2 linked regions of the Styela clava genome follow. The protein of the gene in region 1 purifies or fractionates together with the protein of each later gene. This does not show direct contact. Links are inferred from orthologs where the notes say so. Each region holds a gene or a part of one and is shown on either strand. Other genes may lie near its edges.

Evidence for each region.
Region 2: the proteins of eukaryotic translation initiation factor 2-alpha kinase 3-like (region 1) and transducin beta-like protein 2 purify together in Homo sapiens (affinity purification with western blotting; 3 studies listed by BioGRID). This does not show direct contact. The link is inferred for Styela clava from reciprocal best matches to the Homo sapiens genes EIF2AK3 and TBL2.

Annotation. Positions count from the first base shown.
Region 1 is NC_135258.1:16,027,787-16,043,909, forward strand, and holds the start of eukaryotic translation initiation factor 2-alpha kinase 3-like, read left to right. Parts: upstream 1-8,449; 5' UTR 8,450-8,539; coding exon 8,540-8,721; intron 8,722-9,478; coding exon 9,479-9,617; intron 9,618-10,184; coding exon 10,185-10,256; intron 10,257-10,456; coding exon 10,457-10,572; intron 10,573-10,900; coding exon 10,901-11,029; intron 11,030-11,442; coding exon 11,443-11,542; intron 11,543-11,679; coding exon 11,680-11,746; intron 11,747-12,263; coding exon 12,264-12,373; intron 12,374-12,950; coding exon 12,951-13,089; intron 13,090-13,767; coding exon 13,768-13,882; intron 13,883-14,519; coding exon 14,520-14,692; intron 14,693-15,833; coding exon 15,834-15,939; intron 15,940-16,123. Other genes in the region: uncharacterized protein LOC120338767, read right to left, coding at 340-1,133, 1,637-1,826, 2,402-2,521. UniProt on the Homo sapiens protein: Metabolic-stress sensing protein kinase that phosphorylates the alpha subunit of eukaryotic translation initiation factor 2 (EIF2S1/eIF-2-alpha) in response to various stress, such as unfolded protein response (UPR).
Region 2 is NC_135252.1:3,516,204-3,532,590, forward strand, and holds transducin beta-like protein 2, read left to right. Parts: upstream 1-8,802; 5' UTR 8,803-8,854; coding exon 8,855-8,972; intron 8,973-9,585; coding exon 9,586-9,710; intron 9,711-9,898; coding exon 9,899-10,080; intron 10,081-10,523; coding exon 10,524-10,640; intron 10,641-11,071; coding exon 11,072-11,242; intron 11,243-11,460; coding exon 11,461-11,613; intron 11,614-11,843; coding exon 11,844-12,058; intron 12,059-12,313; coding exon 12,314-12,410; intron 12,411-12,744; coding exon 12,745-12,925; 3' UTR 12,926-13,481; downstream 13,482-16,387. Other genes in the region: solute carrier family 22 member 15-like, read left to right, coding at 368-434, 505-669, 820-949, 1,251-1,354, 1,553-1,612, 2,404-2,539, 2,753-2,893, 3,357-3,442 and 1 more.

The sequences.
Region 1 (16,123 bases):
ATATGAGCTAGCGAAACTAGCCAAAATCAATGAACAGCATACAGAAATGGGGTAACACACTTCAGAACATGAAAGGTTCAAATATATATAGATATATAATACCAGCCGTTGAGCTACAAGAATCACAAAATTTATGTTTGGGCGGCTCATGTTGAATAATCTAAAATTTGAGAAATAATACGACAGAAGGCTTAAAGGAAAATATGGAAGCATTGATAAAAAAAAATATTGAAATTTATAGGAGACAAGTTAAACTCAACGACCCAAGTTTGTTGTTACAAGTGGTGTTGGAAGAAAAAACATATTCCTTTTTTCGTAGACATATATTACACTCCTTACATGAATTCCTCTCATAAACGTTTTCATCCGTCGCGGATAATTTCTTGATGCGATTGTGGCTCGATGTAGATCTAATAAATTTACATCTTCTGGGCTTGTATGAATCTTTTTGTGCAATTGCTGCAACGGACATTGATTGTGAGAGACTTCTTCGCCATACGCTCTCATATCGTCACTATTGAACGAACTAACGGATGCAGGTCTTGTAAGTGGTTTAGGAACAGCGTCATCGTTTGAGCAGTCTTCGACTATAGACTCTTGCGTTTCCATAATTTCATCTTCAATAATCTGCGGCTTGATTGTACATTTCTTAACCACCGAACTTACTTTTGTTTCCAAATCCGGAGCAGAGTATGGGCGTTTGCTTCGGTTGAGTTTTACTACCGGAGTAATGTTTGGTTGCGTGTCCGACCGTAGTCGCCAATGCCCGCTCTTTAGAATGTCGCAAGATGCCGTCGACGACGAAGAAGACAACAACCGCTCCCTACCGCCATTTTGAATCAGTGGCAAATGAGTTGATTGAGATTCGAATGGATTTGTATAGTCCGACTGTGTTTCATTTCCATAACTTGTCAGCCTCCCGTTGTTGAATCTTGGTAAAGATTTCGATCGAGTGTTAAAGCGTTGGCCGCCCCTGGATTTTCTTGGATTTCTCATTTTCTGTATTTGCACCTGCGCTTTTCGCATCTCGTCCAACTTACGGGATAAACTTTTATCGATCTCAAAACCTGCTGATCGCAGAAGATTTATACAAGCAGGAATCGTAACTTCTTCAGACATCGCAGTTGTGTTTCCTGTAGCATAAAACAAAGAGCTAAAGCTTCATATCCAATTACTCGAACTCAGTGCTACCGATTAGATTTCCGTGCGGCTAACTGCATATCGGTTTTCGATGATAACACTCTGGTGGATATGTATGCATCTAATGCAAATAAGTTGGGGGCAGAATGAAGGTGACTATTCTATAGGTATCACGTCAAGCGCACTAACGCAAATGTATGTATGTACCATTTTTCATTTTTCGAGTTTCAAGTTGATGGATTTTTATATTATATTAGTAATCAATATTCAGTAAATTATTTTTGCCAGTAATTTATACATATCATTGCCGATTTATAAATGAATTACAACTGATGATACAAAAATACGACACAGAAAGCATAACCAAATCACTAAATTCCGATATGTAGAATCAGAATGATTTAGAACGGTAAAAATAGCTTCGAATAGTAACATCCGCATTGACCTGCTTACATCAATAATGCAGCTTAGCAATGTTTAAATATATTTATTATACCCGCATCTTCATCGCTCCAGACTTCCATTAATGTCTTTGCGAAGTTACGATTCTTGCGATACTTTGTACTACATTCCGGCATTGAACTTTTAATTTTTTTGATGCTTGCGTCAGCTTGAGCTGAACGTTCAAGGTTGTCTCTCAGTCTTTTGGTAATCACCTTACTTTCAAGTCCAAAATTAAAATCAGCCTGTAGTCGAATGAAAAGTTGTTTAAAAAAAGAAATTGTATCAAGCTCTAAGTATGGATACTAAGCATGTTTTTTTTTAACTTGTTTTGCGATGGAAAAAAGTTACTTAAAATATCAACTATACTTATTAATGGTTCAATAGCAACGCCATTTTACTCAATACTCGAGTCGGTGACCATAAAATGAAATAATGTTCTTAGAATATCCAAGGGATTATTCGACTTTACGTAATTTCACGAATATGTATTTTCAACGCATTTGATGAAAATATTTGGGTAATAGATATATTTAGTATATTGCATTTTTATAATTCCCTGTCCTCACAGTCTGCTAATTTTTCAATAAGCTTTGAAAAAATTACTCGTAACCATATCTACATATTGGAAACTTCATTAATATTCATTGTCGGTGTTTTATGTTGCGAATAAGATAAATATCTTTAACTAACATAATTTGTTAAAACGCCGACATCGTTGACGTCACTCCTGTCAGTGACGTGTTCTGTCCTTTGTTTTCAATAACGTTTTATACAAATAAATTCAGAGCGACAGTATTCAAATAGCTTCAACACATACCTGTCGATGCATTGTTTTCATGTGATCCAACTTTTTTCGTAAAGCTTTTTCTTCCAGTCGATTGCATTGTTGAAAGTTTAATCCATTTTCTGCAAAGGAAGATGTTTTGAAAAGAGACATTGCCTTGAATTCTTCGTCTCAATGTCCCCAAATACCCAACGATGATAAGAATATGACCGGAGAACAAGCACTGCTAATATACTGTGAAATTATAACATATACTGATATATTAGTATTTTCCTGCCTACGTTACGTCGTACCGTTACACATTGTTACATACATTCATTTATTACATATTTATATTCAGTATGACGTTTGTCTATATACATTTAATTAAAAACTCCCTTAATCTCGGTTACTGAGTATTACACATATATTTACTCAATCAGTTACATTTACAACACTGAAATTAAAAAATTCCTAAACGTCGAAGACCAAGCATGTAACGCACGTGTACATGTGGCCTTAACAACACAATAACTTTGGATAGCGTTACTCCGTCTCGATCAAAATGAAGGCGCCATCAAATAGTATCCTGGCGCTATATATCAAGTCGTAAAATGCTGACAATATGACGTAAAGTTTCAAGCGCGTTACTCCATGGAAATGAATTTAAGCCCTATTAATTAAACAAACGAATAAAAGCTATAAAATTGTGAATATATAATTAACGCGAAAATACACAGCACGTTCGTTCGCATTGGAAGGAATGTACAAGAATCTAAAAAAAAAACACGAGAAAATAGAAGGCTTGAGCTGTAAAATCTTGTTTCAAATCTTCCCACGATTTCAAATCAATGGTTTTTACCAGCATAAAGCAAATTGCCAAAAACTTTGAAACTAATATAGGGTCGCCGTTCAATGAATTGAACGAGCTTAATAACACATCGCACTTATTTAAGTATTGTAAAACCTCTCGAAGTACTCGTACATATAAGTATCTGTACAAGTTATATTGCCTAAAATAATAGTCTAGTCCGACATTATTGATTTTGATGCTCAAACGCGGAGAAAATCAATACGAAAACAACTTTATGTTGGCTCAACCATTAACCACCACGAACAAAGCTTCCGTCCAAAGAAAAGCGGGACCCAGACTACTTATGTACATACTTGTAATGATGTCAAGGTGCCCAAATACAGAACAATGGATTACTCACTGTTCTAAAATTTTTGAGAGTTCATGTCGTGTCCTCAGTTACGCCACTTAGCTGAAGCTTTTAACCTGAATTACGAAAATGTCCTAAACTGTATTTCGACAAGAAGTTAGGTGCACTTGAACTGAACTAAAATAGTTTCATGCCTCATCAGAGTCACGTTCGCCATTTAAAAAAATCAAGCATCTATAGTCAATATTTCTTCAATTTCTAACAGCTTTCAGTTAATTAAAATCGAAGTGGTTTATCTAGAGATTTCTATAACAAAACTCTCTAATAGGTTATTCATTTTATTCAGCAACCTGCAACTACAAGTACCTATTCACTTTTATATTTACAATTTTTCTTGTTTTTATTCAAAATTTCATCCAAATTTCCCATGGATACTTAGGTCTTTTTCGAGATTAAACTCCCTGCCTCATTCTTGTTATGAGTATAACATTACATCACGGTATTGATAGTCCACTTCAAACGGGCGTTTTCGCGACATGAAGATAAAATTAAAGTCCGGCCTCAAACACGCTATATTAAAAATATTTTAATATCATAACTCTGTATAATAATGTTTGAATAGCTGCCAGAGGACGAGAGCACTCGATATTGTAAACTCTCTTTACGGGGGCACGATTCCCATTTCCCAAAATAGCAGCAATATGTCTCGTTAGAGGATTGTGGAACATGTCTTTGTTTGTTTAAAACCTTCATTTATTATGACGGTGAACTTGAAAAAACAAACGAGACAATGTAAATTCAAGAACGCGCGGTGACGAATCAATATTATGGTTACAATTCCAAAGATCTAGTCTTTTTTGGAGGAGTGAAAGGTGACGTGATGGATGACCTCGTACTCAGACAAAATGTCGCTTCTGAACCAGTAGCCACATTATACTCGTATATGGACGGACCAGAACTGAACAATACCGAACACGTATGCCCCAAACCAGGCATATAAAGCAAATGAAAAGCGGTATCTTCTTAAATTTTAAATCCCTAACTACGGGCCAGATTGTTTTTACTATTGTATCGAATTCAATTGAAATTCTCAGAATAAATACCCTCTTGTCCGCGCGCGAAACATCCATAATAGCAAATCATTTCTGAAGAGGAGAGCGAAACCCATGTTTGCAGAAGAAATTGTTAAAGTTTATGGAAGTTCCGTCAAACCAGCATTATTGATGTATCCGCGACTTGATATTTATTTACTTACATAAGTCCAATCCCCAATGTATAAATACTCGTTACTAGTTTTTGAGGTACAAATGCCGTATTATACAAAGCCCATGCTTGATTGTTATACGCCTTGTAATCGTAATCTTCATATCTGCGTTGTGCGAAGAGTACAATTCGCATTCAGATGGAGACACGAAGTTTAATATAAAAGCCTCACATGTGGTCACAAATTTATTACTTGTTAATCCCACAAACTAGCTCAGTACGTATGCCACTGCGCCTCTATACAAATCGGTAATTGGAAGCAAAGACCGAAATTTACTAACAAACAAGGGTACCAGCAACTTTAAACAATTTAGGAGCAACGCGGATGCGCTGGGTGCTCAGTTTAATCCGTTTACGAGACAACAAGTTTCTTTTCTTATCGCTAGAGCAAACAAACTAATGTACTCAATATATACCAAAGGTTAATCGTTTTCAATCGAAATCAAATATTTTTATCTGTAAGTGTAACCGAAGAAAAATATCATCGCATAATATCAAATAGATATACATCTGGTGACAACCACGAATACCACCTGTGCGCTAAAATATTGAAACATAAAAATGCCAGAACTTAATCGAACTCCACGGATGCGTGATTTAAAAAAAAAACTTGTACATCGTTTATACGTGTTTATTTTAATGATCCGTAAAATGATGTTATACTCAATCGATAATATTTTTATCATATCTACATATTTTTATGATAAATATATACATTACCTAATTTTGTACTTGGATTTATATTTTATAAACGGTCATTCTAGACTGAGATGGGATTCCTCCAAATTATAGATATTCGACACCAATATATTCACTCTTTGACGAGGAGCTATGATGTGGAAGTAAATAGTCGCTTAGGGCCTTAGACGCAAAGATACACTAATATTGGGAATGATGGGATCTATTCGACCAATATATACCACCACGTATAGTACCCCTTGGATGGCAACCTTACACATTAGCGAGGTGCTTATATTCATTTGTATACTATAGTCCGCAAAAGTTTAATGTTGATGCTTTTACTAATACAAAGCTCAAAAATGATTATAAACTAAACAACTTCAAAACTCGCATAAATTTTAACTTTTTGTCTAAACTACCACCACCCTCGTCATCAGGTCAATTGTATAATAATAAGATTGCTGCAATCTTCATAGAACATGAGTAAACAAACTAATGTACTCAATGACAAGCCATAATCGTTGTCTTCGGAACTCAAACATTTTTATCTATGACCGCGCCACACTATCCCCGCAGCGTTAGCAAACAACAACACGTTTATTCAGAAGTTGAACTGTAACCGCCGTTCTGGGACTGGGTTAAACGTCACTGATTGCAAACAACTTTTAATCTACTTCATTACTTTCATCAAATAATTCATACATTTATTCATGGACTAAGGTCAAAACTTTTTATGCTGAGTATAGTATAACTCGACGACATGCACGCGCATGCCCCATAGTTGCGACTGGGATTGCAGTGCAGATCAGATATCTTTCAGTTTGCAGTACAATTTTATAATTGACGGAATATGAAGAAGTTTGCTATAAAGACTACAATCAGCAAATCAACTGATGGTAGATAAAATCACATCAGTGGGGTTAACGACTGAGTTGCCGTACTTGACAAACCAGTTGCTTGCTACTTTTCAATGAACATTAAGGAATGATTTTGTACAAAAATGAAATGTTTAAACTTTAAAGCTACGAAATAAATAGAATGAGTGTCAACAAAATTATGAAAAATGATACAAAATATGCTTGGAATAATTAGTGGGATTTAGAGTTTTAGACACCTGAATACGCCAATAACTCATCAAACTGTAAAGATTATACTCACACGTATCTATTATTTGGATTATAAGTTTATGCTTCCATGTTTAGAAATTCTGAATCCCACCGGCTCCAGTATGTGCTATTTCTACGAATATTACGTCATCCTGTGGTATTACGTCAGAGCAGTCCGCCGTCATTTTTACAAAGCCCAATATACGTCAGAATATGACTTTTTAGGTTTAAATTGAGAAAATGAATGACATTTCTTTAATTGTTCTATCGGATAGTATTAAAAATACTTTGTAACGTAATTTTGCTTCGTAACCTGTAGTGAGTTTTTCAAGAACTGTTGCATACCATTTTTTGTCAAAACTAAACACTGAATTCTACACCATCTATGTACAGTAGGGGACGACTTCTAGTTTATTGTATCCAATAAGTTCATCGTTTTCTGACTTAAACTATATATGAATACTATAATTATTGACTTTTTACAGCTTGCCCTAATTATATACTGATGTTTTCAAGTTCAACTCTGATATTCATGATAAGTGCTTATATGCAGTTTAAATCTGGTCCCTAATTATTTTCATTATGAGTGTTTTATAAAAAGTGGCCACAAATGTTATGAATTGTTCGTGCGCACCTAACCTTGGTGTTATATGGACTGGAAACGCAACCAGTCATGATTCATATATATGTTTGTTAGTTACTTTCTTACATTTACTCGTGCCATTTGAATAGCTAACAGTCAGTCGGTTGGCCTTGTTGATCTCGAAATTTTGTCCACTGATTATATTTCATGTTCATTATTTTAAATACAATAACGATATAAATAAAATGCTAACAGTAGAGGTTGCGCGAGACTAACTACCGATCCTTTCTCAATGCCTTTGCGCTAGTGGATAAGTATGCGTATAATGCAAGGATGCTGTAACAGAAATAAAAATACCATACTATGCAATTCAAGAGTCCTGCTGCAAACTAACACAAACGTATTTCATGTAACGTTTCATTTGACCAAAATCAGACTTTCTCAGCAGGGTTCTTGAATTGCATAGAGTTAATAAAATGCATTCGCAAATAAATCATCATCTCTAGTTCTGCCACAAAATCCATGATTCAGCATTCTGTATTGTCTTACTTTTATAAAACTAACAATGATGTTTTGAAGAAATCGCCTCACCTCTGGCCAATAATAGTTTGTGCTTGTACTCGAACATAAGTAAAAAAACTAAATAAAAAAAATTTAATTTATTCCACTTTTTTAAATCGCGAGATTTAATTGCAGTGAAACTCGCAATCGGGACCAGAAAATGGAACTGAATATGGAAAAGTTTGAACGAAAAATTTGAGAACTCAAAATCGATCATCACATTTTTGGGTGGACGTTGTGGTCAATGTTATGATAATGATCACTCGGTTTTTGTTTGATTTGAAACACCGGGATATGCAGACATTTAATTTTTTTATGCTCATCTTACGCACAGTGGCTATTTCATCCAATATGTATCGTTTTTGCGAACAAACCAAAATAAAAATTATCTTGCCCGCCCCTCTTTTCGAGTATATTTTATGATTGTTTTTTCCATCCACTGTAATCTGTACATTTTTGATAAACAGTATTCGAAAATAAACAAATTATCTACCGGATCTGTCTATCATTAATATATATCACAAGGTGTCGGAAGAGAGCATAATTTGGGACACGTCATCTCAGGGGTTTCCCCTGGTCATCCGATGTTTTGGTTTTTGTTCAAAGTAGCGCGATTATTCGTGTTCGATAATGACGCGGCCGGTTTTTGAGTCATTCCGTCACTGCAAGTATTTATTCTTTGCTTTTCCATTTATCTGCCTCCTAAGTCTGTACCTTAATTGTGTTGCACTCCATAATTGCAGGATATGTGTAATGTTTATTTTGTTATTTTTAGTTATCTTAATTAAATCCGACCATTTACTACCTATAAAAAGTGTCATTGTACTACTGTACTATGCTACATCTAATGCAACTAAAATGGGCAGCATTGTTGGCATCACTTGGTGCTCTAACCTCTTTGCTGAAGGCGCAAGTCCATACCCAAACATTCAAACCAGGAAAAGAGACCAACTTGGACGATCTTGTCAAAGTCTTTCCGACACCACACTCAAACGTTAACGAACCAAAAGGAAATAGGTGAATATTCAATATTTCCAAACTACGATAGCGTAGACAGTTAAATCGGTATGTCTGTAGTCATTCTTTCTTTTTTCTTATGTCCTTGGTCTGTCTGTCTGTTGGTAATTCAGTAATTGCTGAAAAGAGTTATTCAGAAATAAGAGAAAGCTTGTAACCCTTCAAAACAAAAAACAACTTTTGTTGCTTCATTGTTGAAAGTCGAGTACATCACAGTTCTCTGATTCCCAGAAACCCTCACATTGAAACACATCAATTGTAACAATGCATGCAAACCCCTCCTTCACGAGATCAATCTAAGCGCAATCTAAAAACGTAGTCATTGGATTCCTCTGAAAAATATAATCAAATTTACTGCAGGAAAAAAAATTGCTATATATAGCATTCTAGAGTTTTAGCAAGAAAATGTCTAGCGGAGACACTGGTCATGTGACGACCGATGCATGTCACGATTAATTTTTATTATTATCGTGACAAATATTGCATGATCTTACACATCTGCCGTCGTGTCAGCCATCTTTGTTAGGGTCTAACTAAACTACTGTATTTTCACTATGTCTAGTTCTAGTATCTACCAAGACTTCACTTAATGAGGATGTTAGCTTCTGGTATAGTAAAGAAGTAATAGAGCCCAAATGTCACAACATTATAAAACACTCTTTCATTATACTACATCCTGCATAATATGTAACACATAATACATAGAATTCCCTAATTGTTAGTATATCTCTTCCAACATTTCTTTAATTATTCTTAGCCCATTTATTGTGGTGAGTACATTGGATGGAAAAATATCAGCGTTGGACACAAAACATGGTGGAAAGTTGTTGTGGACAATGGATATTGGGAGCGGCCCACTCGTTTCATCGAGCATTTCCAAACTGCAAATCAACCAGGTTGTTAAACTTAGTAATTATTGAATTTTTTTACACCAGGTTTTTTTTACACTACTTTGATTCATATATTAATATAAATAAATAGAGAGATTCTTTTTGATCAGTTAGTTAAACAATTTATCACTATTATACTGCTTGGACCAGTGTTTTCTACCATGTCATCCAATCTGAACTGTAATCAACTGATAATCTTTTGCTTAATGGTACCAACAATTCTCTCAAATATAAAAAGGTCTTTTGGGTAAATCTGTTATAAATATTTCGTTCATCCATGTATATTATTATAATGAATTTATTTTGTGATTACTTAGAGAGACAAGATTAACAAATATTCCACCTTCTAATAAACAGACATGATTGAGCCTTTGGCACTACACTAGTCTTGTGCAACGGATTGGCAATAGAGAGCTTCTAATAATGTTATCATAATAGTACAGTTTCATGAATAAAAGAATTGCGAATTAAAAATATTCACCTGTAAATTTGATAAAAAAAACACAACATAGTGCTTTTTTTCTTTGACTCTGATTTAGTAACCAAATTTATTTTTCTATTTATTTATTGCAGGATGGGAAGACAATCAGACTCATACCTTCATTATCTGGTGGCTTGTTCAAGTTTGATGGAAATTCTGTTGAGGTATGTTTGTTTAAATTTAATAAAATATATATTTTTTATGCTTGAAAAAGTTGTAAATGGTAATATAGTTTTTTCAGAATAGATGTACATTACCTTCCAGGAAATAGTTATTCCCATACGGCCATACATAAATATATCTCATTTGAAATTGGCCTAACAAGTTCGGTAACTATTTGTCAGTTTACTATTTATTTTTTTAGGCTTTGCCATTTTCAGCTGAGCAATTACTATCATCTTCATTCAAAGTTTCTGATGACTCTATACTGGTTGGTGGAAAAGAAGTAACAACATTTGGACTAGACTCTAGTAATGGAAAGTATGTTTGTGTTATAATTATAAGCTGCGAGCCTACGATGGATAATCATGTGGGAAAGAGTTGCTGGTTTACACGTTAATGTGGGGTGGTTCATGATATCACAAAATTGTTATGGCATCCTTCACCAGAAAGTCCTTGAATCTGGGAAGAATATCTGGTTCACTATTTCCATATCTGTCATGGACTGATAACTAGACAAACAGCTCCAGCTCGTTATACGATTAATCTTTTTGACTTTTTTCTTTTCTGAGCTAAATAGAAAAATTCCATTCTCTCATCCTAAAAATAGGCACATTGAGGGTCTCAATCTGTTTTCTGTCTCTTCTAGTATTGTATATCTATGTTCTGCGTATGGATGTGAAACATTTCATGAGGTATCACCAACAACCGATGTAATTATTGTCAAAAGAAGTCAACAAACAGTTCGTTCTGTGGAAAATAGGCATGGACGTGAAAAGTAAGAATAACATTTACAGTCAGTTTTTGTTAATTTGATTTCCAAGATTTTAAATGGTATATAATGACATCAATTCATTGAATATATATTTATAGAAAATGTAGAGAAGTGAAGGATCAAATTGTAAGGGAGAGGGTGATCATATATAGGAGAATTGATAGGTCACTTGCTTTTGTGTGGTTTTCATTTTCCATGAGACATCTTTATGGGTGTGGCATTCTCCACCAACCATGTCCAAGTATTTGAAAGGAGAAATGGTCATCCATATTTCAGACAAACTGCTAACTGAGTGACTAAAATGATGATATTTCACAAGCCTCTTCTGTTATCCATATGACAATTCACTAGCAATAAATCTTTTATTCAATTATTTGGACATTATATTCTGTGTTTATCTAACTTTTCTTTTACAGTTGGAACTTTACCGTTGGCGAAGTCGAATTGGAGGTTTCGAGAGGAAAAACTTATCAGCTATTAGAACATTCTGGGGATGAGGGCAGTTCGACTGAACAGGTAGGCTATGTAGCATCTTGATTTTATACGAAAATTCTTTTCATTTCACAGATTTTTTTATTGTACAATAATTCTCAAATGTTAATAGTCCTATTAATAAAGCATACATAGAAGTAATTTATGTCCTAACATTTCAGGGGTCTACCACAATGCATCATCACCACCAGGATAACTCTCACTCCGAAGGGAATCCAGATGCTTCAAGTAAGTTTTATTAGGGCACAATTTCATGACCTGCTATAGTATTGTAGTCGCTATTACTGATTATGTCTTTGTTTTGTGTGTTTATTATATTTATATTTGGTATTTCAAAATTCTGCTCTACCATTCATTTCATTTTCAAATATACTGAATTTATCCGTTATGTAAAAAAAATAAAGATGTATTACAATATGGAATGATATAAAGACTTTTTAAAACTTAATACGACTTTGCTGTGATAAGCCAGTAAAAACATGTGTATTCCTTACATGAGGCATCTTTTATTTGAAAATTTTTCAACATACAATTTTGTTACTGTCTCAACATGTGATTCTGTTTTTTCTGTTGCTAAATTGCTATTGTTATTACTGTCTGTAGATGAAATTAGAAGGTACGGTATCAGTATAAACTCAGGCATAATATCAATGCTACATACCGTACATACACAATGCTTTTTGAGCTAATCTTAAACAATTGCTGGTGTGGCTGTCTTTCATTTATATTATTATTCACATTCTAGCGGACCCAAGATCATCGAGTATATTCTCAAAACTGAATGTATTAGTTCCAGAAGGCACTATCTACAAGTTCAATGATGAAAATAAACCTAGTTTGGATTGGAAGCACAAGGTATGCTGCCACTTGTGATAGATTAAAATGTGGAATAAAAATAGATTTCAATAGTCAATTTTTTATGTTTAGTATACTAAAACATGTATTTAAAATGTCATATATATTGAATTTTGCAATGGTGAATCAAAAAGAGTAGATTACTGAATTCAAGTTTCATTATGGATTATTTAAAATCAAACAAAATGGGAATTGAGCCTCATAGAATAGGATTAGGATTTCATGTTTATCCTGAGATAGATGAATCTGATAAGACAACTTAATTATATGGCCAATCGTGGCCTCTTATTTGGTTACCGGCCCATGTCCAGTATTGTAATAGTTATCAGTTATTCGTTCCAGATACATTAACTTACCGGTAATAGTGAAGGAAGCCCCAATGGTCATGAAATCTATCCTATGACGGCAGTCTTCTTGCACATAATTATTCCTTACATGATTCGATCGAACCTGCGCAGGGTAAACAGTTGTGATGACATAGGTATTCCTAGCGCCTAGCATAAAGTGACGTTCATTGAATGCATAAAGTGATATTAACTGAATTTACCATAATTTCTAAACAAGAAACTTTTTTTAGTTTGACAGTCCAATTGCAAATGCTTGGTATGTCAATGGAGGAAACTATCAAAAACTTGATTTATTCGATCCAGAGACAGTTCCTGCATTGAGGGATAGAAATAATGGCCGAAGTAATGGAGACCCCACTATTTATATGGGTGAGAGTCCTTATCTTGACTTTCATTTTAGGAACCCATCATTTATTGATTGTATAGTTCAGCATATTTTTATATCTTGCCTGGCTCTCTGATATAATTGCTTGACGATGATTGGTGACTGGCCTTTACCAATTAAATGGGGCCTGTAATGTAACTGAGGATTCGTTATCTTTGAGTATTCAAATCAGATCTTTCTTCATTTAAATCATTATTTATTTTGCAAACGTCGGCCCCATACTTTAATTTTGAATATTTGGAAGTTTCCTCTTATCAAATAATTGTTAGATAAAGTTTTAGCTCATATTTGTATTTAACATCTATATACGAAAACAACTGTGGCGCCAGAATGAACAATGTGAATAATGATGTATTGGTTTGCAATTAATCACTAGCCAGGGATCTACTAGTTGCAGGTGTTATTAAACTATTTCTACTTACTCAGTTTTCCAAGAATCGTTTTCTCTTTTTAATCTTATAAAGTTAGAGGCACTGAAATTTATCTAGGTGAAATCGGGAACATATTTTCTGGAAGGATCGTACCGCAATAATTTTTTCACTTCAGTATATGGATCTTCTGTAAAAATAATTGAGTAGTGGTTAGCACCTATGTAGATCAATTCCATGCCACATATCACAGAAAAATTATTTTACTTTATTAACTTTACTTCTAATGTTCAGGTTTTTATGGAAGCCACGTCTACATTCAAGTGTCATCAACTACCAGGAAAGCAATAACAAACAGTATGATGCCTTCACCTCGTTCACATGTTAGACCAAGATCTAGATCTCCTTTGTACGTGGAACTATTAATCAAACCATTACTGTATTTATGAGAACTGTATTGTTTCGGATAATGTTTTTTTAGTACAAAGTGACATTTCCTAAAGAAAAATGCTGCCAGGATCAGTGTTATACACAAACTGTTCTTGTACCGTATAAATCACAATTCCTCATCCAATATATATGAGGGAACTAAAAAAATCAGTTAATTTTTTTTGGTAAATATGTGGGTTATAAACTTATAATGAGACATGTGAATAGAATTTTTCACAACATCTTTATACACAATTTGTTTTTATTAACAATGCTCTATCCAAGTAGCTACTCTTAGATAAAAAGAAAATACTATAGTTGAAATGACTGAAAAATCTTTCCTGTTCGGCATTGCCTACCCAATTTAAAACACTATGGGTGAGGTGATGGGCATGAGATTTTACCCTTCGAAGTTGCGATACCATCTAGTTAACGCTTTTAGTCTAGAACTCAAATCACTTATTCACTTATTGATTAATCTGAATACTAATGTATATTGAAATTTTTTTATTCAATTGTACAGACATAACTATCTCTTAACTTTTTGGGAATTAATTTGGAATATTTTAATTTTTTACTTTGTTATTATTGATATTCAATGATCAAATCTCTTTCAGTAACCAGGTAGTGAAATTTCCATATCGACCATTTACGGCATCGTCTGATCATTTGAAACGTGCTGTTGTGGGTGAATCTAAAGAAGGTGAAATTCAAGTTTATCAGAAAAGTAATGCAAAAGGAAGTTGTGGGAACAATCTTGCTATATATAGAGATAATACTAATGGTGAAGGTCAGTGGAATTTCCTATTATGTTTCAATTGAAATAGTATTGCTTATCAATTATGTCAAAATGTCTATATAAATAACCAGTCATTTCTAAATACCTGAAATGAAATGTGTTTCACAAATAGAATCACAATCAAACATTATATTTATATATAACTAGTTACATGTTACACATTATTCACATCGTCTAGTGTGGAACTAATGAGAAAACTGGTTATTGAGCAATAGACATGTGCGCTTTTATTTTTCATTATATATTTAATTAAGAATGCTTAATCGAAAAATTATATTGACCAATTTGATTACTAAATATTGAATGAATAAGAAAGATTGTTTGAAAAATTTTTCTTGCGCATATATGCATATATGTATCGTATTGTCCAATACTCTGATTCACCTTTACTAGGTCTTTCCTGTTCTGAATTCAGTTCTGTTTAGTCATTGGCAAAATACTATTCATCGCAACATTCTTCCTTTTGAAGTGATCAATAGAAATATTAATAATTTCAAATCCATTTCAAATCATTTCATATATGTATACAAAGTTTTTGACTTCCTGTGATATCATAATATTACAGAGTTACTAGAGCTTGATAAAATATTTCAATACCGAATAGCGAATTGAATATCAAAGTATTTGGATGGTATTTTATGCCTGCCACTTCATATAAAGCCTAAATAACTATGTCACACCGACAAAAACAACCCTGTGAAAATCTCATGTGTCATTAGCAACTTTTTCTGCCCTGTGAAAATTTCTGTAGGGAAGAGCTTTGCCTATCCCTAATTGTTACCATATATTTTAGTTTTATCTTACTCTCTTGATTTTGATACCAACATTAGTACATTAAGAAAAGGATAGAATGATCATACAGGCAATTGAAGTTAAACTTAATTTGAAATTTGTATTTGTTCAAGAAAGTATATTTTTAAATAATTCAAATCATCAAAATGCTTATTCCAACGTTACAAAATAAAATTTGTGAAAGTAAAATACTTATAAAGCACTAAATACTTTCCTTAATATTTGCTATTTTTGAATTAAATCATGATAATATTACTGGTTTTTATATTGTAAAATTATGTTGCATGAGCCCTCTTTTTTAACCCAGTAACAACTTTTATACAATTTCACCTTTTTTCAGATGTTGGATATTACTTTAAGAGTGATATTCCATACTTCATATCAATTTCGGAATCTGGTAAAAAGGGAAGAACAACTGAATTAGATGATGGAAATGAATCATATGGGTAGGATATGAGAAAAATAAATTTGTGGAAATTTGAAATGTCATTACTAAAGCTAGTTTTAATGTGCGCTGTGATGGAATCATTTTGGGTACTCCCATAGTGTGTGTACCAGGTTAAGGCATACCGTAATTTTACTCCGATTTTCTCTATTTTAGTTCTGTTACGAGTCCGAAGACTGTCTGTG
Region 2 (16,387 bases), on another chromosome or scaffold:
TTATTTTTTATTATTTAGTTGTCGAAACCCCCTGATGTGATTTTATTGGTGTTTTCTGCTGCGCCGTCGACAGTCTTTGATGACAATCCACACGCTCAGGGCGCAGAAATCATTGTGTCCAAGGTAACGTAGTTTCATTTTATTAAGTGAACAATCTAGGGATTTCCCGTTTTTTTTTTATATACATTGATTTAGTAATTCACGTATTTTGGGATCATGTTATGTAAAATTTGATTTTCAACTAATATTCGAAATCACTATAGTTAGTCGTTATGCTTTCTTTATTGCAAAAATACTTTGGTGGGATTTAACTGAAGATCGCAGTTGGATACCAGGCTTCCTTCAATCAATTTTTTACGTAGGTTTTATGCCTGGGACTATCGTTTTTGGACAATTATCCGATCGCTATGGAAGAAAGAAAATTTCGGTTATAGGTGAGAAAATTTATTTGCGACTTCTGCGATTTTAAAGTAATTAAAAAGAGCATTTGAAATATATTTTCAGGATACATATTAGTTCTGATATTTCAAGTTATCAGTGGATTTTGTCAAAATTGGCAACAATTTGCAGTATGTAGAGCTATATCAGGCTTCCTTGTTGGCGGTTTAAGTGTTGTGACAACTATACTTATACAAGAAACTACGGGATCGAAGCTTTGGGTCCTGAACGGTGAGTACAAATGACTCCAATTCCGTTTACTGGTACAACAGGAATTGCTTATATGACTTTCATATGATTTTAATCCAAAATGAATAAATAATAATTGCGAAAACCAATAAGCTCGACAACAGCTATAGGACTGAATGAATCTATTTTCAGGTGCTCTCGGTGCAATAGGATTCACCGCAAATATGTTAGCGTTTCTATGGGTTGCCTATCTTTATCCTAGTTGGAGACAAATGTATTTTATTACAACGATACCTGGAATTCTTGGATTTGTTTTTTTATAGTAAGTGAAAAAATACGTTAGTGAATATATTTGAAGATATAAATTGCATTTTCTCAATATTGATAAAATATGGCAAAGTCCGAGGGAAAGCGAATGGATCTCAAGCTTTCATATCGAGGATGTTTAATTTTTTGTATTATTTAACGATGGTGAATTGGATATAGCATTGTGAAATATTTATATATCCCGTGCTAGTTCTGTCGAAATGCCAATATTTTCAATACTGCTAGTCCATACATTAGTAAAGTTTAAGTGCATATTACATGAAATTGATGCAGAAATTTAGCTTAACACCTTTCAGCATTGTCCCAGAGTCGCCGCGTTGGCTGTTGTCTCGCGGTAAACCAGACAGCGCAGAAGAAGTGATGCAAAAACTATCAAGGTGGAATGGATCGCCTCACACAGGTATTTTATATTATATATATATATATATGTGATTATGAACAAATATTTTGGATGCCCGCAAATTTGAATATCACTCAAAGATATTTGCTTACGAAAAACAAAAAGTAAATCACATGTGTAATTGCTGATACGTAAATTCTCCTATAATATGATTCTAATATTTCAATAACGCTTGATAATTATTATTAATATATTAAGAATATGCTCTTCTGCCGGGGAACGCGAAAGAACGCCAAGATGAGGGACATCAAAATGAAAGTACGTATCTATCAAACGCGGATTAAATAATTCTAGATATACGTTTTTTTTAAAACATTCTCACAAATGAAATTCACAAACACAGAATCTTCTAACCAGCTTCAGAAGATTTTAGAACAGCTATCTTGCCAATGTCGACATCAATAGAGATGAAAACGTCAATGAAGGCACGGGATGAAATTATTTTAAACTCGTTTTAAATACCGTTCCTGGATGAAGTCAGATCTAGATGAACACTTGAATGAATGTCAAGATATTATATTTTTAACTTCCCAAAAGAAACATTTACATCATAGGACAGAATTGCTGAACAGTTGCAAATGTAGGGATTAAACAGAATCCCCAGGATTGACTGACCAGAGTGTCGTTGACCTACTCTGACTCGTAATCTTAAGCCCACGCTTTACCTCTCAACACCCACGCGAATGAATAGACGTTAAAACCTCTATTTGATTTCATTCGTAGTTTTTCACGATATACAGAATACAATTTTAAAACTCCTTAAAACTAGAATCGGCTCACATTGAAAATCTATTGAACGGTATATATGTACGTTGATCAAATAACGAATTAACATTGAAAACGTGACCTCGTGATTCACGCCATGAACAGAAACTCTTATTAATTAACTCTATACGGGTAATTATGTACGTCGTGCGGATGGGATGTGTTTAAAATTTCTGAGAAAATGATATGACACAACGAAGTTGTTCTTGGAAGCTAAAGTTGTGTAACTTGTTCCTACGAAACTTAAAAGTTCCTACTAAACTTTAAAGGTTATATTTCACTAGATCGTCTAATGCTACAACAAAATTATGAATATGCACAACAAGAGCAAGATGCCTCAAGAGACGAGGAAGGCTCAATTATAAATTTGATAAGAAAACCTGTATTGCGATACAGAGCAGCCATTTTAAGTTTACAATGGTATGTATAATTTTGCATAGCTAAAATTGACATAATAACATCCGTAATGTGTATCTATACGATCAATCTAAATGAGAGTTATACCGAAATGAAATAGATTGACCAAATATTGTTCGAGTATTTATATAAAAAAATAGCCATGTGTGAAATCCGTCTTCATTGTATATCCGGTTAGGTTTGTCTATCTTGACTCAAATCACGTTGTATTTTCAGGTTCACCGCAAGTTTTGTATTTTACGGCATAACACTTGGTTCTGGATCTTTTAGTTCAAATTTTTATGTTGCATATTTAATATCGGGATTGAGTCAGCTTCCATCAATACCCTTTACGATTTATCTTATGGAGAGAAGATGGTAAGCCAATACCATAACAGGAAAAAATCTCGAACTCACCATTTGTTTTGAACTTTCCTAAAAATCACGTAGTCAAAATCTGGGACTGACAGGCTGATAACTTGAATGAGTCCACCAAAAAAAAACATCTATTCGTTCTACTGGTAAAAATTAACCTACAAAATAACCGCAAAATAAAGCGAGAATCGTTGAAAGTGAATGAACGAACAGATCATATGACCTTGAAAATGAGTAAAGGCATCGTGGTGAAATTATAAACCGGCCGCGGGATTATATTTATATACTGATATATTTGACTCCATAAAAAATGGCCACATCCATAGAAAATAAGCAGCAAATGCTATATTATTAGTATATAACGCAAGAAATTGAAGAGGTGTTGCTAAGTATACTCAGTTGATTGTATTTGTTCAATTCTTATCCCCATATATATATATAGTTTTAATCGATTTACTCAATACAGGGCTGGTAGAAGACGAACGCTGGTCTGCTTCATGGGTTTAGATGCACTGTGTATGTTCGTCATGTACATCGTTTCCTTCGGCCAAGGTAATTTCAAATATTTACCTGAGAATAGCAACCTTACAAATTTGAAAATATGTTTTTTAATGTAATTACTTGGATGCCTACTGAACAGAACAGTTTTCGTTAAGTCGAAATGATGCTTGCGGACCCACAATAAAGTGCTGTTTACGAAATTCTATAACATAAACAGAATTTCAGGCCAAATAGTCTGTCATGAAAATATACATTTAAAGATTCGAACGAAAGTAAAGTACATAATACATAAAGCGGGGCCTGGTTGGAGCAATTTAATTAACTGCTCTTCCATGGTAAATCCAGTTTTAATTGATCAAATGTATTTTAATTATATAGTGTAAATTTTGTCTCAAATGACTATAATACATACGTATTATAAATTGCTGTAACTGGAAGATAATCTGTTTAACTGGAATTAGCTATAGCCGATTGAATGAATTTTTTTATTTCTCGTTAGACATCGTAAAAATTTTTTGATCTTTCATAGAGCTTCAGCCTTCATAAACCATCCCGTTTCAGTCGACAACAAACCCGACCAAATTATTTTGGTAAAAACAATAATATTACTTTACTAAAATGTAAATCTGGAAATAAATGTAGATAAACAGAAAGATTAAATTACCGTTTTTCATTCAGATCGCTCAAACTACAAATTGACACTTTTGGTTTTCGGAAAACTGGGAATTTGCGGAGCTTTTGATCTTATTTAGATATATACTGCAGAACTCTTTCCAACAGTTGTGAGAAACGTTGGACTGGGCTCAATGTCGTTCTGGGCAAGAGTTGGTGGTGTAATTGCTCCATTTTTAGCAAATCTTGCGGTAAGTTTTTTATGAGAAGTACTATTGTGCAGCATCTGAAAGGTAACGGAACAAATATATCGTTGTCGTTATTATTGGACACGTTTAGTGGACATAACGATCGTTTTGTTGTTATGTTGTTCTTGTTCTTGTTGTTATTTGACACTTTTTGGACACCTAGTGGAAATATTAAAAAACCGCTTTTCTCTTTGATCACTGGACCAATTGCTTTGAAATTTTTAGTGGTTAAAGATGGAATTTTTCTCCAGAAGGCTATTACTTTTATTTATTTCAAATATTTCTGTTAGCTCTGTGAGATTTGTTTTTGTTTGCTATGACGTCACCGAATGTTCTGCGGGCATTGGAAGCCATTTTGTGTCCTACTGTACTGCTTCGCTTGGTGTGAATATATTTGTAGACTGTGATATGACGGAACGGAAACCGTACTGTACTGCGAACAGACGTGTCCATATATTTGGGCGTAGCTCTCTTGTTATCGTTTTGTGATTTCTTTTTCATTTGAAGGTGTTTTCTGGACCGAATGACCCATTTCTTGCCTTTGGTATTGTGGGATTATTGAGCAGTGTTTTTGCTGCTTTCCTCCCTGAAACCCGAGCCAAGTTAATTCCGAACACCTTTGAAGAAGCGGAACTACAAGAAGAAGACAACGACGAAAATAGTTGTAATTCGATAACATGCTAACATTGACTATGTCCTCTACACTAATTGAATATAGTTATTGTGTATCCTCTTGAATAAATTATTGTTTATCGTGTCTTTTCTTATTTTTGTTTTTCGGAATTGAAAAAAACGGCACGATGAACTTTGACTTGACTTTTCATGACGCAAATTAGCCGTTAGAGACAAAAATCAAGTTTTATTCTTCAAACTGCTAACAAGTGCCAACGGCCAACCAAAACAAACGAATATTTAAGGAAATGGGTCAATAACCAAGAGCAGTTGCCCAGCCTTCCCACACAAGCAGACCTGTATCATCAAATAAAACGTACAGGCGGACTACGATAGCAATTTTAATAATAACACGAAAGAAACAGAAGAATACGAAAATTAGATCAAACTGCATTTCAAAGGTCATGTCATGGCTGATTTCGCTATTGCTATGATTTTAAGCAGTACGAGCGCGGCCCCTCAATTTTTCAACTCAAATATAATAATATGGCGCGGCGTTGTGGATCATCATACGCTCGCCACCGCATCTCTGATTACTCTGCGGGATTCGCAGGTTCGAATCCCATGCGGGGATAATTGTGTGCAAGAAGATTGCTGGACTCATCGCGACTTCCTCTACCATCAAATCCATGCTACCGAAAACAAATACCGTAACTAACTAATCCCATACCCGACATGGAATGGTAACCGGACGAGAGGCCGTGGTTCGCCATATGGTTAAGCCGTCTTGTCGACTTTCCTCTCCCCAGGGATAAATATGTAAATCCTATAACAGACCTTCGGAGATCAGATTGGCGAACATTTTATTCCTCATAGACAAGCGGTCGGCAACCTGCGGTTCCTGAGCCGCATGTGGTGTGTTGTTCTTTGGCTCCCGTGAATCAAAGTGGCGGCTACAGCAGATTTTTCTTAGAAGCAGTGGGGATTAGGGTTAGTTCGGATACCTATAATTTTCACTATCCGGATAACGGATATATCCGGGTATTCCGTATTTCAAATATACGGTTAACCGGATAGTTACTGCTGATTTTAGAGAACCGATTTCGCAGGATTTTCGCGGTGAATTGAACGAATACCACCACACAGTTCTGTTGTAAATACTCAATTATACAATTTAAGCTCAGTAGTCGTACCGATGTACAGCGGAATAATAAAATGAAACATTTTTTGAAAATATTGTGTCCTAATTTTTTTTTCCCCAACTGCTAAGTTATTTTCCCTATTCAAATAATATGTAAAGATTTATATTATTTCTACTTTATTGTAAAGTTTTTTAAAAGTTTCTTTTTGTGTCTAGAGCCTCTTTTCTTTAAATTTTGACTCGTACTAAATTTTAGTGTCGCAGACTCACAATGATCATTTCTGATCATCCGCACCTTCCTATCAATTGCAATGAAATTTAATATTGTCATGTATAGTATTTTGTTTTCTATAATATTTGGTGATTTCTTGCACGCCATATTAAACTTTGTTAATATATACCACAAGAGCATACATATAAATGAAATCATGAACACAAAAAATCGTGCATTTCGAACATTTTATTTCGGTGAGAGAAGTATCCAAAAAATAGAATATAGGGGGAACAAATTCCGTGAAGTGTATAGGAAAATATAAGTCATTTGAACAAAAATTTTAATAACAAAGCAAATTGATGATTATGAAAAAACCGAAGTGGTCAGAAATTTCTTCTAATTTGAAAACTTCACTTATTTAACATGTCGCTGTAAATATTCTCACGTTTGTACTAATTAGGCAACAACTTTAAATCTATTTCCATTCGAATACCTTTTAAACTAAATTAACAGAGCCAAAACAATGCTGCGCCAGTTTTTGAACAACTTTACTTACCACCCTAAATGAGTAAACGAAAAACATGACACGATACAGAGTCTGTCACATTAATCTTTTCCGAAATATTATAGACCATTTTGCAAACAAATTTGTTTGTGAAAGTTCCATGAAAACCATAAATGTAATAACAGCCTTTCCTCCTCATTTTGAAATTTTCGAAAACGTCACTAATAAAGGCGGTCGAATTTTACAGGCTAATTGTGTTATCATCGCCGATCGTTTTCTTCCGCATCGCGTTATTGTTTGGGGAATTAACATCGGCATTATGCCAGTTTTAATTTGAAAAGAAGTTACATCCCGTGAAAAGTTACCCTTGTTGTAAATTCAGTAAATACGATTATTACGAAATTTTGGCCATTCAACAGCGCCTAAAATAGAGTCTTGTTTTATCTATCACTGGCTCATAAATCAAGAGTCGTGGTATTTTCGTTAGCATTCAATTCCTTATTGTCAGTCAAAAATGTGTGTTTCAGATCTACTCTCTTAAGTCTTAACGATAGATAGATACGACGATAGATAACATACTGCGGCCATTTCAGTTCCGGGCGAAACAAAACAATTATCGGCGTTATATACCGACGAAACTGAACCCGACTTTTCTCCCGAAAATGTTGATATATAACTATAAGCTAATTAATATCTGCATTCATTGTACTAAATAAATTATACTCATTGGAATTGCAATAATAGCTCAAATTTGATGAATTTTCAAGATAGCAAAAATAGGAAATTGGATTTGTTCGTGCAGCTTACCATTTATTTTCATATCTAGAGTAGAAATGCTTTTATTTTAAGGTAAGTCGGGCTCTTCTATACCGCAAATACGCAATAATCACATTTTTCTGCGTGTTTTGTGATGTAATACTATAGTCAAGTTCACTCCAGCATTACACGGATGACTAAAATATGCAGAGTGATGTGGATATAAGTGAATATTATATGCTCTGAGAGATGTCATTGGCCACTAAACAAAAAATATAAAAATCACTAATGCGCATATGCATTATTTATACTGCTCTATTATCCGGTTAACCGTTACAATAATATCCGGTTATCACATAACAAAATACCTCTTGGTTAATCGGTTATCCGGTTAACCGCTATCCGGATAATCCAACCCTAGTTCTCAGCTTGTTCTTTGTAATGTTCCAAACATTGATGGGAATTTTTCACATTTCCAGATATGGTAACCCTAGTGTAAATGTCCATGGGTGCAAATATGCAGATGTCCGTGGGTGCAAATGTATACGGGTGCAAATTTCCTGTGTGCAGTTTACGGGTGCAAAATGCAAATGTGCTGTCACTCTCTCGCACATAATTATCCCCGCATACAGGCATAGGATTCCAACCACACCTCAATGATTCCAACCTGCGAACACAGACGCAAGGTAATCACAGGTTCGCGGCAAGCGATGCGCCACATCACGGAGTCTTCACAGGGAAACCAGTCCAGGCTTAATTTCGTTTGAACTTATCTTCATGCTTTCCGTGCAATGATTCGCTTGAAAATCTTCCATTTTTTGCACCCCAGTTGTACATTTCTAGTCTCGTAGTCAAAATAAATTTTTGTTATCTTGTTTAAAAGTTTCAACAACAATTGTTTCTTGATACCGGCAATTCTGATTCTCGAACACACTCAATTGGCTCGAAGAGCCACGTCCGCATCGAAGGCGGTCGGAATCGGAACCAAAGCGACTACCGTACCGGTACCGTACTGTTTTTTTTTTGTAACGTGGCCACAACGAACCGCTGTATGTATTTATTTGCTTGTCCACATACAGACATATCGTGTTAGGAATTTATATTTATCAACGTATTTTCACATGACCATAAATAAATAATATTTCTACGAAAATTACGGTACAATTTTGTGAGTAAAAGATATCCTGATATCAGGAGTTTGCAAAAATACTGCAATAATCGTCTGCAGATCTGTGAATGAACCTGATGTATGCATGCGGACCGTGCCCACCGCAACCGTCATATTTATGATATTCAATATCATGAAATTAGTCTTGTAACTAGTATTATATATGTTTGTAAGTCTAAATCCTATCCTATCCTAAGTTCAGAAATTATGCAGGAACAAACCCTCAGTTCGTGGAATGTTGTGGCAGCCATAGCCCTTGTCTTTGTTTCTGCCTTTTTAATATGGTTTAAGCAGAGCAGGACTGAAGATAAGAAAGATAATTCAGGTATGAATTTATCAAAGGCTGTAAAGGCCTTTTGGTTGGGCCTACTCAGATTTAAGCCTATTTGAACGTCTGAATGTGTTTCGAGATTCATTCTGTCTTTTATGTTCATATTTATCCCTGAGGCAGAAAAGCCTATTCCTGATGTCTGCCGAAGCACTTCAGTTATACGATCCTGTTGGGGTAAGACAGTAAGAGCCTTGACCATCCAGGGCTGGTCAACCAACCACTTGTGTTATTATTATACATGTATTGTTTTACCAGAAAAAGAATGGGTTCATTGCCCAGAAATGCCCCTTAAACTGTTAAATAAGAAATACTATATAAACAATTCTGGAGATATTTTATACATAACCCCCTTGGCTTGCTTAAAACAAAGACTGAAAGACAAAATTGAAGAATCTGTTCACTATTTTACTAAGTTTCTGTAAATTATTGCATTGTGTATAATTTTATTCTATTTTAAAAAGGGGACTCTGTGCATATTTCTACCTTAGATAAGAGGATGAATAGCTTGATATTTATGTGCTTTTGGTGTTGCTTGTGGCATATTACTGTACTACTTTGTTATGAATGTATTATCTAGTCCTTGACATATTGCATATTCCTGGTTTAGAAGATGATTCGAGACAAGATGTGGGAACAAATAAGTCATCAAAACGTTCTCAGAAATCTTCAACTTCTAAGCAGTTGAAAAAAGCGTTTAACTTTACTCATGATCTTCTTCACACAAGTCTGAAGGTGACTGTTATGTTTTGACTAGTTCTGAAAGGTGACTGTTCAGATTTATTTAGTCTCAAATTTTAGTAGCATAAATATAATGTCCAAATAATAAAAAAAATATCAAATTAAAGAATATAAATAATGAATCACTTAATTTTTAAAAATGAAAGTAATACAAAAAAATATTCTTTTGGGAAATACTATAGGGTCATGCTGGAAATGTACTTGGAGTTCACTTCAGTATCAATGGAAAATATTTTGCTACTGCTGCTGCTGATAGAACTGTTAGGCTATGGAGTGTCAAAGATTTCGGTTTGGGCAACAAATGTGTTCATGTCAATGTTGAACTTGATCATGCCAAGTGTATCCAATTTAGCCCGGATTCCAGGTGGGACAAGTATTATAGCGCTTCATAGTTGAGGATATAGTATCGACGGTCTGGTAGCATTGATGTTCGGCACAGGTTTTTCGGTTTCTTGATAGTCAAAGTGCTCAAAAGTGTACTGACATTTTTACTTTCAGTAATATGGGTAACCAATGTTGTAAACTGTAATGTAATAGATCCGAATTCTCTGTCAAGCTCTGTGCATTGAAAAAAACTTGTAGGAATAAGTTCATCAAAGCTTGTGTAAATTTTGTAACAATATTTGTAAAATAATTCGTTTTATATGTGTTATTCTTGGACATTTTTCTATGGCCTGAGAAGTGTGTTCAGCCCTATTCAAAGCTGTCACTTGGACTGAATATTGCAAGGCTAACGTTTTGTGTGCTGGATGTGTTTGCTTGCATTTTGAATATTTTCAAATTAAGTTGAACGTACTATAATTTCAGGGCATTTGTTGTTGGCTTGGCCAGAGGCAACAATGTCAGAATATTCAGACTTGGTAAGAAGGACGACAGGACAACAATGTGCAATCCTTTGGAAAATGATTTCAAGGATGATTTCAAGTAATCTTAAAGTTCACAAAATTTTCATTTTGTCTTCCGTTGATTGTTTATCAATGTGTAAATGGCACTATAGATGAAAAAGATATATTAAATTACTCGGCGCTCCAGAAGGGTGTGTACCAATATGGAGGTAACTAGTTTTGTTCGCCTACTTTACATTAAGTTGTATAAAGGGACTTAAACCTATGGGCAGGGGGTTCATTCACTTGGCTAACACAGACAGTCCCCGAACTCATAATAGAACTAAAATAAGGAAATTACTACGGAAGTAGCCCACCAATCACTCACTATGCTACTGAATGCAAACAGTATGGAAAAGTCAACTAATACAGAAAGATGATGTAAATTGCAGAATTTGAGGGGATTTGGTGCCGTGTCAGCATTTGGCACTCAGAAATATTATTGTTTTAAAGAAATCATTTATTCTTCAGACAGGAATTGCTCAATATTGGTGTTGGTGCCACATCCAGTGGTGGAAGTTTTGTTATGACTGCATACAAAGACACAACAATCATTGTTCGTGATATTAAAGGAGAAGTTTTAAACACAATCAACACCAACTTGGGAACCAATAATTATGCATGTGTGTCTCCATGTGGCAGGTATATTTTGATTCTCCATATTATATAGAAAACCAAAATAGTATTTAATGCATTTTTAAACATTTACAATTTGATTACCATTTACCACCTAAATTAATGGAAAACCCAAGTAAGGCTATGAATAAATAATCAACACCGCCTCCTAACTTGATGCTATGTGTACTGTCCTCTCTAATTGTTACCAGATAATATTTTTTATTGTATAAATTAACTACTAGGTATGTTGGTGCTTGTGGATGGACTCCAGATGTCAAAGTGTGGGAGGTCAGGTTTACTAAGACTGGGACATATAAGGATGTTGTTCGGGCATTCGAGTTGAAGGGACACAAATCATCAGTATGGTCCTTTGCTTTCAACAATGATTCAACAAGGTATATCGTTATTATTATATGACTTATCGATGTAAATATAAGTTCACATTAGAGCTGCTAAGGCACTTGTCATTCTAGAAAAATTCTTTTATTTTCGTAGACTTCAAGTTGAATCTGCAATCCATATCTAATTAGGACTGGTAGAGACCCATAGTGCTGATTTATACGAATACAAAATACATTTTTAAAATAAAAGCTCATGGATTTACCCTTTTTTCTCATATTTTTAGGATGATCACTGTTTCCAAAAAAGGAATGTGGAGGTTCTATGACACTGATATAGAATATGAAAAAGGACAAGAGCCATGTTTGTTAAAGGAAGGCTTGTTCAATGTTGGCGACATTTCACCAGCCGATAATTTCTGTTTTACTTCTCTCTCATATGATGGTAATGTTGCTGCAATTGCATCATTAAATAGTTTTTGCGTTTTGTCAACTAGAACAGGTGAGTTATACATGTTTTCAAATTTTCCAAGTATGAATCTCTGGTATATATTTAATCAGTTTAATATTTTAGCAAGTCTGCCTTGATGTAGTCAAAATTTTTTATCCAATATAATTTGGCACTCATTTCATCATGTGAAATGGAAGCCTTATCATTTTAGTATGGGTTTCGCACTGTAGTCATTCCTTATCTGTGAAGTATCTAATCTCAACATCTTGAGTATACCATGTCAATATGTGCGTTATTTTAAACTAGGTGATATTGATCAGCAGTTTAAGGAAGTTCATTCTGAGTTGATAACCGCACTGGCATTCGATATTGGAGGAAAGTTTGTTATTTCTGCTGGGGACAGGTACATAATTTTCTTCCTATACATGTTCAATACTAACCAGCTGAGAGATGTAAAAAAGTAGTGAAAAAACTGGGGGTTTTATTTTTACAGCATGTTTTACAATTACTCCTTATGTCACTGGAGCTGAGCAGTCACCTGGAAAGGCTGTTACTGCTTTTCAGAAGGACTAGGAATAGATTAACCAATTCAGTGAGATGGTGGGCATGTAGATGGACTAAAAATATTTCAATTTTTCACCCAGGATGGCAACATAGGTCCAATGCTTTACCCATCACATTGCATTTTTGTTTTCCACACATAAAATGTACATTCTGTTTTTATTTATTTGTGCCAGACATGTCCGGGTATTCCATAACATCCTCGGATATAAAGAAAGTATTGAAGTGCTGAGAGAAACTCTTCGAAAACACCCGCCAAGTTCTGCAACTCGAGAGAGATTGGAGACTCAAATCAAACTTAAGCAATCTGAACTAGATAAAATTTTATTGACGACACAAGAAAAATCTGATTCTTAATGATGTGCAAGTGGATGAAGGGCGCAACCCAGGCATATAATTTTTGTTCTGATTGTTATATGAGGAAGATCATAAAATTTGATTCAGTTTTTGGTGTTGCTAGAAAGATGTATTGTCAGATTTTATGTAACTAGGTAGTTGTATTACATTAGTTCATTTCTCTTTGATTTAATACCGAAACACCACAAGCAAGGTCAATATTGACTATACTCCTGACTTTGGGTTAGTTTTATTATCAATGTGAACATTAAGCTGAACTTCTTTTGACACCGATGTGCGTCTGCCCTGAATTTATAGCTCTTAAACATTTTATTGGGCATTAGTCTGATATGGAAACTTAAAAGTTGAATACTCTGTAACTCCAATAGTATGATCAATCAATTCCTAATTACCTTATTCCTCATTAGGTTGTTTTGGTGCATTATGAACAATTGCTAGTTGCTTTCTAGAGTTAGTCTATGTGATGTTGTATTTATGTCAATCCAGTTGAAACAAAATACCTTATTAACTTTGCAAATGTTGAAGATGAAAAAGTGCAATGAAGCAACACGTGTTATTTTCAAGTATTGGTACCGGTACCGGTACCGTCTTTAAATCATTAACTTTTGCCTTTAGCTCAAAAGGTTATTGGGTAGCTTTTTGGTCATTGCTAGATGTCACTAGAGTGTTACAACTGGTCGCTAGTAATGTTACAACTGAACGGTAGAAGAGTTATCTTTGCACAATTTCTTGACCGAAGGGTAGAGGCGGTGCAGTTTAGTAACTACGGTTCCATTACATTTGAACCCACGTACATTTGAACCCATGACAATTGCACCTGTATGCTATTGCACCTATGGAATTTTTTTTGTTTCACGGATAGTTAAACCCATACTAACCCTAACCCATGGGTTTTAGCACCCGCATATAGATTGAACCCGTGGATATACGCATGGGTTCAAATGTACATGGGTTCAAATGTACGGTCACCAGTAACTACGACTTGGTAGGTAGAGCTTAGCCTTAGACAGTAAGTGTATGGTCTTCGCAGCTAGTTCAAACGAAATCTACCGTAGTTTGTTTGCTCCGGTCTCATCGCACACCAAACATTTACCGCGACTACGCCACTCGTTAAAAAAGCTGACCGTCCGTCGGATAATGTTTTTCTGTGGTTCAGAATACGATGCGATTCTATATAAATTTAATTGGGTCAATAGTTCCAACGATTTTTGCCAATATAAGATCACTGCTACTGTAAAGTATGCCAAGGCAATCTGCTAACTTGAAAATGCGTTGTAAACTGACCGATTATATTAAGTTTTGATTCGTATTCAAGAGCTGCCATAGAATAAAAAATTGATTGAATACATTTACATTAGTTATTGGGAAGGTAAACTCTGTGACTGTGGTCCAGCTTCCAACTTGGCATGATACATGGCATTGGCGCACAAAATTTCGCCGATTTAGAGTTTCTAACATAGCGTGTTTCATCTTTCCAGGGCTCCCTTAAAATGTATGGTGTTTTTTTGTTTTACCTTCAGCTTTTACTAGCACTGTTTTCACCCTGGAGTTAGAGTAGCGCAGTTTCTCCTTTAACTTTTCAGATAATCGCGTCGGTATGGAAATCCGCGTGTGAAGTAAGGGAAGTGAACAAGCGATGACTTAGTATTTTTAGCATGGTATGCAAGATATCCGTATCGGCAAACGTAGGGTATATATATATGGATCCCACTTCATTGTCCAAACTTGTATATAACTTAGCTTATCTTCTTCTCAATTTTGTCATGTAAATTGTAAGGCAACATTTCAACATAGTGCGCCAACCCATCTTTTCTACAAACCGTTAGTGTACAACCAAAATCAATCTTTGCGCACTTGTTTCGTATGCCATACTATTTCGACCATTTGTCGAATGTACATCTTCATACATCAGCAGCCTTTACTTACTTGTGATCGCATGATTTTATTTGGATTCACAAACTGCGCAACTAAATTTCCTTTTTGGATCGTTCTGTGTACAATCGTTGGCCCAATGGTAAATCGAGCGCCAGACATCACAACAACCCACTGAACCATCTTTTGTAAATGAATTCATTTTTCAGGAGACAATGTTTTCATGTAGCGAAATATTTCTTTTTCGGTACTTGGAGTATTTCATTTTCACTTAAACATGAAACTTGTCCAAAAAATTCTTTCATGATAGGATTACCTACCGCAGTTTCTGGTTGCTGTCCAAACTAATCTTTTATTATGTCGACTCATTTAGCACCGTCGAAAAGTTTATATGCCGAGATATAATCTGTCAAAGGCATCTCAATTTTTTTTCGACTTTGTATACAACCTCTTAAATCACGAAAAATAATCTCGGTCATTCTCGCTACGTTCTCTTTTGTTTGAAATGTATGGCACGCATCATATGCATGATCAACTTTGTATTCTCAAAAATGTCGCCCAATTTCTCCAGCAGAGTCGACTTCTTGTTATTTTTTTGTTTTCTGTTGTGCATCAATCTCCATATCACTTTCGTCTTTCCAACCAATCATATAAAAAAATAGCGATTGCCGTTTATGATTCGGGAGATGCCTTACCGGTGTCCACAAGGACACTTCATTTTTCCAATGTAAGGATTGCTATGTTTGAAACTAGGAGCATTTTTGTGTCTTTTTTCATAACTTGTTTTCCTCTTCTACAATTCGCCACAAAAAGTTAGAATTAGGTATTGATTTTGATCGTATGTGCTCATCCGTGGACGAAAAGGTTGAAAGAATTGACAACGAGAACGAAATGTTATTAGTTGCGAGAATTTGTGGCACCAACTGCATAGTCTACACTCTACATTACTGGCATCGGAGAGTTTTAACCATTTACGTAACTTATGATATCATAATTATCACAAACGTTGAAAATATAACTCGTGATCTCTAGGAATGAATGGACATTTTACGTGATCGACTTGTACCAATCTACGATACTAGCAGTTTACGTAAAAAACAGTGAACGAACATCCAATTTTGAATGCGTATACGGCTGCTCGGAAACATAACCACTTGTTTTCCTGTTTATTCTTGTCTTGACCCATGTTGCTATCCAACCGAGAAGGAGGAGTATCTTTAGGAGGAATATCTGCGGTAAAGTTCGACAACCGGTCCAAGATTTTTCTCATTCGTCACTGTAAATAAACTCATGTGGCTAGTTCAAATGGATTATTGTTTATGCCTTAGCATCCGCACAATACTTTGCTGAATAATCGCACAATTTTATTTGATAATTTTTCATCAAATAAAAAGAATCGTTTGATCAAGTTTTGCATAGGGCGACGATAATTATGCTGGGCAACACAATTTTTGTTCCTGGCTTCTATCTATTGTTATTTTCTAATTGGTTACACCTAGAAACTGAATAAAGATGAAATTATTTTTTTTGTTTAAATGCGTTTAATTTCCCTAAAACCGTGGGAAAATGTGACATAAAATAGCTTATTAT